Linked DNA regions of Nothobranchius furzeri. The protein of the gene in region 1 purifies or fractionates together with the protein of each later gene. This does not show direct contact. Links are inferred from orthologs where the notes say so. Each region holds a gene or a part of one and is shown on either strand. Other genes may lie near its edges. The genes, in order: bbs12, bbs7 and mkks.

What was found.
Region 2: the proteins of bbs12 (region 1) and bbs7 purify together in Homo sapiens (co-immunoprecipitation; 3 studies listed by BioGRID and IntAct, counting the BioPlex papers as one, with this or other methods). This does not show direct contact. The link is inferred for Nothobranchius furzeri from reciprocal best matches to the Homo sapiens genes BBS12 and BBS7.
Region 3: the proteins of bbs12 (region 1) and mkks purify together in Homo sapiens (co-immunoprecipitation; 4 studies listed by BioGRID and IntAct, counting the BioPlex papers as one, with this or other methods). This does not show direct contact. The link is inferred for Nothobranchius furzeri from reciprocal best matches to the Homo sapiens genes BBS12 and MKKS.

What each region holds. Positions count from the first base shown.
Region 1 is NC_091741.1:73,113,126-73,117,305, forward strand, and holds the start of bbs12 (Bardet-Biedl syndrome 12 protein), read right to left. Parts: upstream 2,929-4,180; 5' UTR 2,818-2,928; intron 1-2,817. Other genes in the region: uncharacterized protein cetn4, read left to right, coding at 3,106-3,108, 3,312-3,467, 3,563-3,691. UniProt on the Homo sapiens protein: Component of the chaperonin-containing T-complex (TRiC), a molecular chaperone complex that assists the folding of proteins upon ATP hydrolysis.
Region 2 is NC_091741.1:74,284,394-74,288,715, reverse strand, and holds the start of bbs7 (Bardet-Biedl syndrome 7 protein), read right to left. Parts: upstream 2,896-4,322; 5' UTR 2,051-2,895; coding exon 2,015-2,050; exon of another isoform or gene 1,971-2,014; intron 1,876-1,970; coding exon 1,810-1,875; intron 1,644-1,809; coding exon 1,581-1,643; intron 1,498-1,580; coding exon 1,322-1,497; intron 1,235-1,321; coding exon 1,048-1,234; intron 954-1,047; coding exon 881-953; intron 795-880; coding exon 687-794; intron 1-686.
Region 3 is NC_091752.1:1,560,310-1,564,449, reverse strand, and holds mkks (molecular chaperone MKKS), read right to left. Parts: upstream 2,945-4,140; 5' UTR 2,738-2,944; coding exon 1,756-2,737; intron 1,622-1,755; coding exon 1,440-1,621; intron 1,137-1,439; coding exon 1,026-1,136; intron 945-1,025; coding exon 516-944; 3' UTR 472-515; downstream 1-471. UniProt on the Homo sapiens protein: Probable molecular chaperone that assists the folding of proteins upon ATP hydrolysis. Plays a role in the assembly of BBSome, a complex involved in ciliogenesis regulating transports vesicles to the cilia.

The DNA.
Region 1 (4,180 bases):
ATTTGTCGCTGTTATTGTGTCGTTGGGCAAGACACTTAACCTCACTTGCCTGCTGCTGGTGTTCGGAAGGACCAGTGGCGCCAGTGCTCGGAAGCTTCGCCTCTGTCAGTGCGCCCCAAGGCAGCTGTATCTACATTGTAGCCAGGGTCCGAAATTAACACTCGCCACTCGCCAAATGCGAGTAAATTGCTCCATTTGGCGAGTAAATTTTTGAGCTCTACCTGCCACCTGGCGAGTAAATGTTTGCACCAAATTAGTTATGTTTATCAGTCATCTTCCATGGATTTCTGATACTCCTCCCGCCTGCATGCAACTTACACAAACGTACGCGAAACGTGAATGCCGCATCCAACGTCATTTCCACCTATCCCATTCAATCAGTTTATCAAGTTAGCAGTTAGCTTCGTGTTAAAACTAGCGGTGAAATGTGGCGGTTTTTAACTGGAGTCAGCCAGCCTTCCAAAAGAAAACTCGTCGAACTGGAAGAAAAACCACCAGGACCAGTGGCAACCAGAAGATTTTGTGAAAAGTGGCGAACTGGAGACGGCGGAGTCGTGAGACAATGGCTACATTATGATGGCCACGTAGCGTTGCTGCCTTTCACAGACAACTGGCCCTCGGCATTCTTCAAATATCCAAAAAATGCCCATACTTCCGACTTTGTCTTCTTTGAGGGATAATAAATGTCCCAAGTGCTGCCGTCTCCTCCTGCCATTATTTCAGCTTTAGCTCAAAGAAAGTTTTGGTCATAAACAACAAAGTGCGCATGTGCCGCCGGCAACTTCCAGCAGATGATACGGTGGCTGGAAAGGGTCACCGCGCCTACACCGCAGCCACGGAAATCCACCGAGATAATATATATATATATTTTTTTAAACAAGACTGTTATTATTTATTGTCAACTTTTTTACCGGGGTTTACTGCTACACCAGTTACCGTGACAACCCTAGCCCTGACACACTTTCAGATATTCTCATGGTGCAGCTGTGTTCTCCAGAGATCAAGGACTAGGACCCAAATGAGGCTGTAATGCTTTGGCACAGAGACTGTGTCAGAAGCAGGAGGCCAGACTTCATGGACAGAGAAAACAAGGAGTCTGACTAGATTTCAATGAAAGAGTTCATAAAAACATCTCTAAAAATAAATAAATAAATAGTAAAAATGACAAAAGATTTGTTTTCCTTATTAATTGATGTTTTAATTATTTTGTCACTCTGTTTGGAATCAACATAATATAGAATAACATGCTTTAGGTAGATCTAAATCATTTAGAATTTTGGCCGGTAAAAAATATGCTTGGCCAGTAGATTTTCATCATCTACCGGCCAACTTGGCCGGCGGCGGTGAGTAAAAAATTTAATTTCGGACCCTGATTGTAGCTCATCCCCATCAGCATGCGTGTGAATGGGTGAATGACCGATTGTGTTGAAAAGCGCCTTTGGGGGTTCTAGGACTCTAGAAGGCGCTATATCAAATACAGGCCATTTACCCTAACCATAACCCTATAAGACACATAAAAATTGTCCCACACAGAGTTATTTTATAAATCATAATTTTGCTAAACATACATATTTGGTGACTGAGTGGTTATGGTTACCGTAAGTGTTAGGGTGAGTGTTCATTTTTGTGGGAGGGGAACTCAAATCGACATAACACTGGCGCCTGAAGCAGGGGAAACAAATTCTACCGGGGACAACTACATTGCTACAAGACCGGCATTTATTTTTGAACATGACATGTCAGCAATTTAATCACTGTTTTAATATCATTCCATTTTAATATCATGTAATATCAATAATCAAGAAGCAATAACAGTGACCAGCATTCCCATTTAGGAAGTTGCAGAGACATGACACTGACGCAGGTCAATGAAGCAATGTTCACTCTTTCAATTCTGCAATATGCACACTTACAACATACTCTAAGTCTTACATGCACTTGCTGGAGGACTGTAGGCTGCAGTGAGAGTATTTGGACTGGGTCTTAGTTGGTTCCCGGCTTCAACACACCTGAATTGAATCACCAGGTGATTAACAGGCAATTCAACCATTGAACCAAGAGTGTTGGAACAGACAAACAACTAAAACTGGACAGTGGCCCTCGAGGACTGGAGTTCAAGATCCCTGTCTTAGAGGGATCCAAACCTCATTTTACTTAGGTGTGCTGTATGTTTCTGTAGAGGAGAACATCTTAGATTGAAATTCAAAACAAAATATCAGCACAAAGTAATAGAGAAAATGTTTGATGATTACAGTTGGGTGAAAGCACTACAGAGTAGAAAGGAATGATCAGAAACAAAAGAAAATAGCTGCTCATCTTAAATATTGTAAAGCTGCTAACACATTGAGGATTATCTTAATAAAGCTAGTTAAGTAGGGACAATCCTGAAATTTACTTAATTACTGTTATTTTATTTGTTAGTATGATTGATTTTTATTGTGTTCAGCACCTTGGGCTTCGGCTAAGGGTTGTGGAAGGTGCTCTATAAATGAATAAATGAAATGAAAATTGCAGCACATGCAAGTTGCAACTTGAAGAGTTAAAATCTTTTCAAATGGAATCTTGGTCAGCATCTGCTTGACATTTATCTATGCCTTTCAATTATATCAAACAAAGAAAGCAGATACACGCAGAAAAAGAGAAGTACACTTAACTTGACCCAATCTCAGTGTTAGCTTTAAGCTAACGTGTTAATAATATATACATTATATTACTACATTCGGAAAATGTATGATAATGAATGGGTCCAACAACATTATCATTAAAAAGTCGTCACCAAAATAGCTTTTTTGTATAGATTAAAAAGAAGGAAATTACCTTTAAGACTTTGAAACGTCTAGTCAGCTACCTCAGGGATTTGTTTCCAATGCGCATGCGTTGTGCGTTCAGTTGCTAGGTGACAAGAAACGGATTGCGCGATTGGTCGACACGTTTAGAGCCTGCCTATTCTACGTTGTGATTGGCTAATATGTTTCCATTAAACTTTTTCCTAGTTTCTATTGGTTATTTGGACCAAAAAAAAAACTACCGTTGTAACTTGTTACCTGTTTTGTTGACATCCGTTTTTCAAACGCTAAAGCTTTCCCGATCGACTCATCTGTTCGAATGGTATACTTTTAGAGACCTTCATTCATACAAGTATCTTTTGCTGCCAAATTATTTAGAGGTTGCTCGGTCAGTTTTAAAGTTAGTGTATTGTTCTCATGGTGCTGTATGGAAGCTCTTTGCTAGTTAGCAGAACCCGTGCTCCTCTGTGAGTTCGCTAGGTGACTTAATGTATTTAAAATAACATTTATTTTTCTATTTATCAGGCTTCGAGTTACCGGAAGGGATCCTTCTCTGCGAGCCAAAGGAAAAAGGCAAATAGCAAAGTGGAACTGACCGAGAACCAGCTTCAAGAAATTAAGGAGGCGTTTAATCTGTTCGATACAGATGGAACTGGAACGATAGACGTTAAAGAGATAAAGGTCAGATCCATAGAATAATTATTTGTGCACAGATTATCTGATACCCCAGTCCATCCGCAGCAGAAGTTTTTCTATCTGTTTATTTTTCGCAACAGGTTGCTATGAGAGCTCTTGGTTTTGACCCAAAGAAAGATGAAATCAAGGCGATGGTTGCAGACTTTGTGAAAGATGGCTCTGTAACAGTTAGTTTCAATGACTTTGTCAGCATGATGACTCAGAAAATGGTAAGTCAACAAAAATGAAATAAACTAAATCATGTAACACAAGATAGAATGAACTGTCAAGAACCTACAGCGTTGGTTTGTAAATGTAATATATAACTAAGTTTAATATTCAAAATAAGCTTTTACACAATAGAATAAGTGCAAAAAATATGCTGTTGCAGTAGTTTATTTAGGCTAGAAATGTAGCTGTTCAGAAGACAATTTTGTGTGATCTCTTTACAGGGAATCTTAGGTCCCTGAATAATAAAATGCATTGTCTGTGAATGTTGGTCAGAACAAATTGGGAATGCAAGACTACACTCTTAGAATTATGAGTTTGACTGAGATATGCATGAAAATTTTCCGATCTCAAGCACCTCTCCCACCTGGCTTTCTGCATGTAATGGGCTGTTGATACAGCAGATGGAGCAGAAAGATTAACGGAGGAGGGGTAAAGGGCAATGGTTTTGCTTTGGAAAATGGAGAAGTGCTCAATCAAACACATATTTA
Region 2 (4,322 bases), about 1.2 Mb from region 1:
TATCTTGGGTCTTGATCACGAGTGAGGGAACGATGGAGCACGAGACTGACAGACGGATTTGTGCTGCGTCTGCAGTTGTACTGATCTAACGTGATGAAAAGATAGCTGAGCTGGAAGGCAAAGCTTTTGATTTAACGGTCAATCTACGTTCCTACCCTCACCTATGGTCACGAGCTTTGGGTAGTGACCGAAAGAACAAGATTGCGGATACAAGCGGCCGAAATTATTTTTCTCCGCAGGGTGTCTGGGGTCTCCCTTAAAGAGGATGAGAAGCTCTGTCATCCGGGAGGGGCTCAGAGTAGACCCACTGCTCCTCCACGTTGAGAGGAGCCAGTTGAGATGACTCGGACATCTATTTAGGATGCTTCCTGGACACCTCCCTGGTGAGGTTTTCCGGGCACGTCCAACTGGGAGAAGACCTGAAAGAAGACCCGCTAGAGGGATAATGTATCTCGGCTGGCCAGGGAACGCCTTAGGATTCCCACGGAGGAGCAGGCTCAAGTGGCTGGGGAGAGGAAAGTTTGGGCCTCCTTGCTTAGGCTACTGCTCCCGCGACCTGACCCCAGATAAGCAGCCGAAAATGTTTGTTTATTTATTGCACTGGAAATATGTCATAAACATAAACATAAACAGAAAATGGATGGATGGGTTAGTGGCTAAAATATACAACCATAAAAAAGCTGCACCTCCTTTCCTTTTGTTATTGTCAATCTCCCATTTGATCCCAGCTGAGTGGTCACCAATTTGAACCAGTCCAATTTTCCCATCTGTGGTTCCATAAAGGATTTCATCACCTAAAGGGGAAGAAAAATATGTATATTTAATTTCTTCAAAACTAAACAGTTTAAAGTTTATCTTTAGAGTGCACAAACCGACTTGCCTCCATCTTTGTTGTAGAGTTCCAGTACAGATGGCGGGCCAGGAATTTCAATGTCATAAGCAAGCTCAGATCCCTATGACCAGTTTTAAATAGATCACTGTCATATCTGGGTGTTTGAAGATGAACAGTTGAACAAAGTTCAAACAAAAAATGTGATTTCAATTTACCTGCAAAACTCTGAGAATTCGATCCTGGCATGCCAAGACTGGGGTGAGACGCAAGAGTTTTTCTGAGGACAAACATATGATATCATTTATTTTGTCTCCAGAGAGAAAGTAGTCTTGATCCTTGCAGTCACAGTAGTGGTTGTAGATGTAACTTGCACATACAAACAGATCAGCTCCTGAGACATGCCTGAAAACAACATTACAGCATCACTCAGTGGAGGTCACACGGTGCAAAACAATGCAATCAAACAAACTGATAAGAAATTATTCCTACATGGCATTAATGTTCTCAGTGAGGTTGGCCTCAAAGGTGAGGAATTGTTTGCCTTTCTTGGTGAATCCTCGAACCTGAGAACCAGAGCAGACAAAGATCTTTTCCTGGGGGGTTCCTATGGCACCTCCAAGGTCCATCCTGGCTATTTTGGGGCCCGGAAGCGTTTTAAACACAGACTGAAACACAGAGTCAGATGTTACTATAGCAGAAATCTTTCTTTTGACTTTAACACCAGCTATGCAATGACTTCTAAACTCACCACAGCCTCCCCCTTCTTCATGCCAAAACATGTAAGTACACCATCGTGATCGGCTATAGCAACCTGAAACACAATAAACACCCACATATTAAACCTATTTACACATGGATTTTAACAACATTTCACACATAGACAATAAATAGAAGATCTGAGTTTAGAATATGTTTAATACCCGTTGCTTAAACACCACCCTCACACTATTCCGAATGTCCTGAATTGTAAACAGTACCTTCTGAGTTGCTTTTTTCCCCACCGCTGGAAGTAACCTCATGGTTTTCTGTGATGTTACACCAACCTAATCACAGAGCAGGATTAAACACCGATCATTAAAAATTAAGAGATCATAACCAAACCAACTTCGATAGTAAATGCATCTAATGAAAACACCACCTTCTAAAAAGGTATCGCAGACCTCAGCAGCTCCTGCTTCCTACCTGAGTATAATCAACTCTGTTGAGTTGGAGCTCCATCTTCTTTCTTTAAGGATTTATTTAGTACAAGAAAAATACTCCAGGTGAGCGTTCTGGCCTCAGAATGATACTATGCCCTTTTACAACTCGATACAGATAAAAGAAAATCAAGCGGAATTCTGGAACAATGGTGCCATTTGAGAATGGGATTATTTTCAGCAAGAAGATTAGCTCGACGTGCTAACGTTGGCTAACACGATTAATCCGCCGGTCAGCTGTCTGTCCTCTTCGCCATCTTTAACAAGGTCCAAGTATTGATATCACACAGACCAGAAACTGGTCTAAAGTTCGAATTCTGTTGAAAGCTAAAATTAAGCCTACTGTACACACGCCTTGCAGCAGAATGCAGTCACCATGGCAACAGTACATCCTGTAACACGATGCGATTCTATTGGATGAGAGCGAACCAGCAGAGTTTTAAGCTGCAAATTGATTGGTTGGCTTCCTCGCGGTTTAAAAGCAGATTCATGGTTTTAACCACTGATCTTCGATACCTTAGATACGTCAGCAAGATAAATACTTTTTGTATATAGTATACCCAGTCATAACGCTAATAAGATATCTTAAGATAAACTAATGTAAAAATTGGGGGTTCAATGCTCAAAACGGAGGGTCCCTCGGCCATAAATCAATTTTCCTCACATACACACACGTTCTTATCCATACATTCCTCTCTCTCTCACACACACACGCGCGCGCGCGCGCACACACACACACACACATACTCACACATTATATGATATTCAACATACATGAAATTCTGAGCCATTGAGTCGACCTATTATTTTCTGGAAACTATAATATTGTCATTGGTATAATTGTCTATCATCTCTGCTGTTATTACAGAAATACTCATACAACATGTTCTTATTGGAAGTTATATTACTGTAGATGTATGTAATCCTGAGATGTAGATTAAAAATGTACATGGCTTATTTAAAGTAGATTTGTAGTGTGTGGCAAGGGGGTGGGATTGAATACTCCCTTTGGGCTAAGACTTTTAAAAAAATTGGTATATCTTTTCATTTTTTTACTATGTTCATTGATTTGAAATTTATTGTCTTACGTTCAAATAAACGTTTCAATCATTTAATCAATCACACACACATTGGTATATCTATACTTGTGAGGACCCTTCATTGACTTCCATTCATTTTTGTTACTGCTACGGTTAACCCATACTCCAACCCTAACCAATGTTGCTGTATTCCAATAACTTTATGGCTAATCCATGTGTGAAACTGACGTCTTGAAGAATCTTGGCACTGTCATCTTGGAATATACCCATGCCATCAGGGAAGATGGAATAACCTGGTCATTCAGTATATTCAGGTGACTGTTTTTTGGCGGGGCAGTATAAAAAATTCAATTCAGTTCAGTTTATTTATATAGCGCCAAATCACAAGAGTCGTCTCAAGGTACCACACAAAGTAAACAATCCAATAAAGGTCAGTTCATTAAGCCAATCAGTAAAGTTCCCTATATAAGGAACCCAGCTAATTGCATCAAGTCACTGACTGGTGTCAGTATCTTTACAGCAATCCTCATACTAAGCAAGCATTTAGCGACTGTGGAGAGGAAAACTCCCTTTTAACAGGAAGAAACCTCCAGAGGATCCTGGCTCAGTATAAGCAGCCATCCACCACGACTCACTGGGGATCGAGAAGACAGAGCACGCACGCACACTCACACGCACACGCACACACACACACACACACACACACAGGTATATGGCATTCAGTTTGTGTGTGTCAAGAATGCATCTGTGTGAGAATGTGCAACAGAATAAATGGCCTTGACAGCCCCTCATAAAAACTCACTGGTTGTTAGCAGAAATCTTAAATACAAATGTATACATGCATTAGTCTATGTTACTTTTTTATACGACCACCATGTACCTCTTCTTAAAAAGTGCAATCTTCTATACATTTGCCACAGTTCCATTTTTTCCCATGTCTATATTCTAGCCTGTTTTTATTTTATTGTAATTTTGTTCTGCAATGCATCTGCACAGATTGAATGACTAATCTGAATCTGAATTGTAGCTTATTAAAGCTACACTTGTTGATTCTGAGGCAACAGTCAACCACTAAAGTGACAAGTAATCAATTTTACTACTTTATTAAGAGAGAACTTGATCTTTGTCATAAAAATGTGGTCTTAAGCAGAAAGGGTGGGAGGAAAATGTGTTGAACACTAAACACATGAAAAAAGTTAAATATAATTTGCTTTAAAACAGAGAAACTATATTTAATACATTCAAAGGGAATGG
Region 3 (4,140 bases), on another chromosome or scaffold:
CTCGACTCTGGCTTTGCTTCCTGTTGAGCTGCGAACGTGTGATTCATGCACATAGAAGGGGATGCGCTGAGGGGGGAGGGACGGTCAGAGGGCAGTTTGATGGACGGATCAGGAGCCAATCGAAAAGGAGGAGATGTTCACAATGATTGGATGAGGTTTTTTCAGGATTCTACATTTCAGAGGCAATTAAATTATTCCTTTTTTTTTTAATGAAGTATTTAGTTTATTGCCATCAGCATGTGAGGAGCACTTCAAGCAATGTGGCAAAAAAAAAAAACAAGCTCCAGAAAAACATTTCCTACTGCACCTTTCACTCTATCAAGCAACAAGATCACAGTTATGATCCTGTGGGTTTGTTTGTAATAACAAGTTGGAAAAAAACATTGAAATGTTTTGTTTGCATTGATTTGAGTTCTAAAATAAAATCAGTTTTCCTCATTTCTGAGAACAAAGAGTAATTTAACAACAGCCTGCAGCATCTGTTCTAGTTTTATCATCAGAGGATGAAAGTTTAATCAGTTCACATCTTGAATAACATATCTCACATCCAGTGCAAGGTTAGCCGTTTCCACGGCAACCTGGAATGCGCTGAGTTTAGCTGCGAAGGAGTCCAGCACACTTGGCTGCACAGGAGTGTCTCTAACAACAGGAACAGGAGAGAAACCTGGATGTTCTGTTTTCAGAAAAGTCCACTTTGTACTCGAAGAGCTTCCCACCACACCACAGCCACAGAATCCCACACTCCCATCCATTTGTTCTTCCAGGATGTCTGGAGGGAAAGTCCAGTTGTGAGCATGGGTCAGATCGCTGACAGAAGTCCCACCATCGTGCTCCAGAGAGCTGGCAACAAACTCCAGAGAGTGGCAGAATCCCTCAACGGCAAGAAGATACTCCGTCTGCGAGCAGCCCAATCCTGTTGCTGTCTCTGATACTTCATTCTTGCACTACAGTAAAATAAAACCATGAAACATCTCTGCTGGTGATATGAAAATTCAAATGTAAACAATTTAAAATCAGAGATTAACCTTGTGTCTGATGTAAGCAGCTAAGTGGGTCTCAGTACAGCCGCCTCCCAGTAAGGCAGATGGTTCCCTGAGGGTGAGTCTCAATACATGCTCGGTTTTCTGGGACACCACCTTTAAAACAAACATAAAAGGACGTCACATGACTGGTTTGACACTTCCCTGACTTTAGATATACATCTGATGTCAGGTCATTTAAGTTTGTTTTGTCTTATGCAATCATATAATTAATATTTTCTCACAATATACTCAATATAGCATTTAATACATGATTGTATTTGTTGTGTGCACAAATTATAAATCACGTTAAATGAACAACTTCAAAAACAAACAAAAGATGCAATTCTATAATCCTTTTATCTGCTAACGTTGATCCCAAAAACTTCCACACTGCTGCTTAAAACCTTTTTTTTTAACCTTCAGCTCATTCAGCATAGTCTCGTTCCTGTGACACAGAACCATGGTGCAGACTGTTGATTCCTCGAAAGGCTGTAAATGGAGCAACTTCTTGGGACCAAACTGCTTGACACTGAGATGCCTTATCTTCCCATAGGCCACGGCTGGGGGGGTGCTGTGTAATGTGGCCACGGGTTGAGCACCTATAACAAAGAAGAATATTTAGGATGCAGGGTATAATTTCATTTATGTGTGTCCCAGTGATTCATTAATTACAATTATATTTTCAAACAGAATGACATAAATGAGTATAACTGCTAATCGCCATGACGCGTACCTGTCATCTGAGTAAGTGGCTCCATCAGAGCAACTCCAAGTCTCTCAATGACAAATACACCGTGACATCTCAAGAAGCGCTGTAAAACTGGGTGGATGACCTTCTGGCAGACAAACACCCTCACCTCATCTTTAACCACCTGCTTTCCAAGCTCTAGAAGCTGATCCAGGATCTGTGAGGCAGTGTCCAGATGTGGGTGAGCCTGGATCACACCTTCACCTACTTCACAGAGGTCTCCAGCCAAAGATGCACTGAACAAAACCATAAGCAGCGGGGCAGAAAAGCTGTCTTTCGTGTCAAAGAAATTGTCCTCAGGCACGTCTACCAGTAAGCCTGTGAACACGGCAGATTCCAGGACAGAATGTCCCTTAATGGTAACAGTCACTATTTTACCAAGACTGACTGTACCTGGGATGCTGCAGGGAACAGTGAGTAAGAAGGCATGCACTGCCAACCTGCTGATGTGGAGTGATTCCAGCTCAGTCAGAACACACGCTGGCTTGCTGGAGATGACACTACGAGCTAAAGCGATCAGGTTCTGACTCCTGCAGAAGTCAAGACTGACTTTGCAGCTGCAGCCATCTTGTTGTAGGTAACTAATGCACATAGCCAGCAGGTGATTATTTACTCTGATCACAGCATGCTCTCTGACACCAGACAGCTTTGCTTGTTCCACAAGAGACAAACAGAGAATAGCAGCAAACAAGCCACAGTCACTGAAGCGGTGGACGTGACTAAGAAGGGAGGATTTCATCACGTTAATAAGAGGATGGGAGGATGTGATAGCTGGAAGCAGAACAGAAGACGTCGAAGTCGTTACCACCAATCCTCCAATGTTATTATGAACTTGTTTAAGCCTAGCTGTCGGACCGTAACACGATCTCAGAAGCTCCATCATTAAACGGAGCTTTCCACAAACATCTGCGTTGCTCAGAGGCAAATCCGTACAAACAGATGGACATTTCTTCACGAGGCGCGACATCACCCGAGAAGCTAACTCAAGTTTAGCACAAGGTCGACGCCTAAACAGCAACAGATAGACCGATTAACTACTTTTGAACACCGGCAACACAACACTGGTTCGCAATGAGACATTAGTCTAGTTAGTCTGTCAGGAAACCATAGAACGAAAACATTAACGTCCCTGCTTTACTCAGGCATTAATGTGTGCTAGAACTCCTAAATATGCCTGTCAAAAAGTGAAAATAAATATACGTTATTATTTATTTAAACTAAGTATTTACAAATTGAACAGAAATAATAGCATAATGTAAGTAATTTAATGGTAATTATTTTATATTTGAAAGTATTTGAATTACAAATATGTAAAGTTAATACAGGCATAGTTACAGACACCCTTCGTTTCCATGGTAGCACTCGCAGCGTTGGGTCCTGCGCTATTAATGAGGTCCTAGTTGAGTGACTACTAAAAATATTACAGTTGTCCTCATTTATATAGAGAAACACATTTCTTGAACGCTTTCTTTGATACTTTTGATTTTTCTCGTTTTTTGTCATCCGAGAACAGCTAAACTCTTTGGTCCAATTTTAGAACTACAGCGGTCTTAGGACTACAAAATGTATATGACGACATCTCTTGCTGCCATGTTGGCGTTTCAAACCTGTTGGCGGTAGGAAATCTTAACTCACTAATGACGTCTTTTTTATTTACCTTTTAAACAATGTATGTCGTTGTTGTGAAAATAACTAGAAGTGTATTAACGTTCGACTGGTTAGCATAAACTATTTATCTCGTAAACATAGCTAATGAACTCCAGTACAAGAAGCTAGGTAGACTTTTTAAAAACTTCATTTAAGTCAGTGAAATTTTACATATTATAACCCAACAAAGTGTTTTAACATTTTGGAGTAATCACTTTTATTAATAAACTATTTTTAGATGAGGCCTTGCTTGGTTACCTTATCAAAATCGTGATAAAACTATTGTTTGTGGAGGTTGAGCTGGCATGACTGTTTTTACTGTAACTGTGTCTTACAGGTGAAAGCTGATGTTGTGCAATGGCTCCATTTAAATTTACTGTCAAGGTAGGTGAACACAAACTATATAACACACACATTCTTGTTCCAGTATGGTATTAAGAGATAAACAATGGTTTAATGATGTTTATATTGTTTTTATTATCATTTGAATGCTAAACCTATTTTTATTGTTTATTATATGAATCCCTATTAGTTGTCAAAATAAAAGCTCGACATCTGGGGTCATTTACCAAAACAATTCATGCAAGACAAAAAAAAGACAAAACATTTATCAAATACAACCCATAAAAATCCTATAATTTAACTACAATGTCCACTACTAAAAGCATTATAAGCGCCCACAATGGTAAAAATCTAAATGTACATACATTCAAATAAAATGAG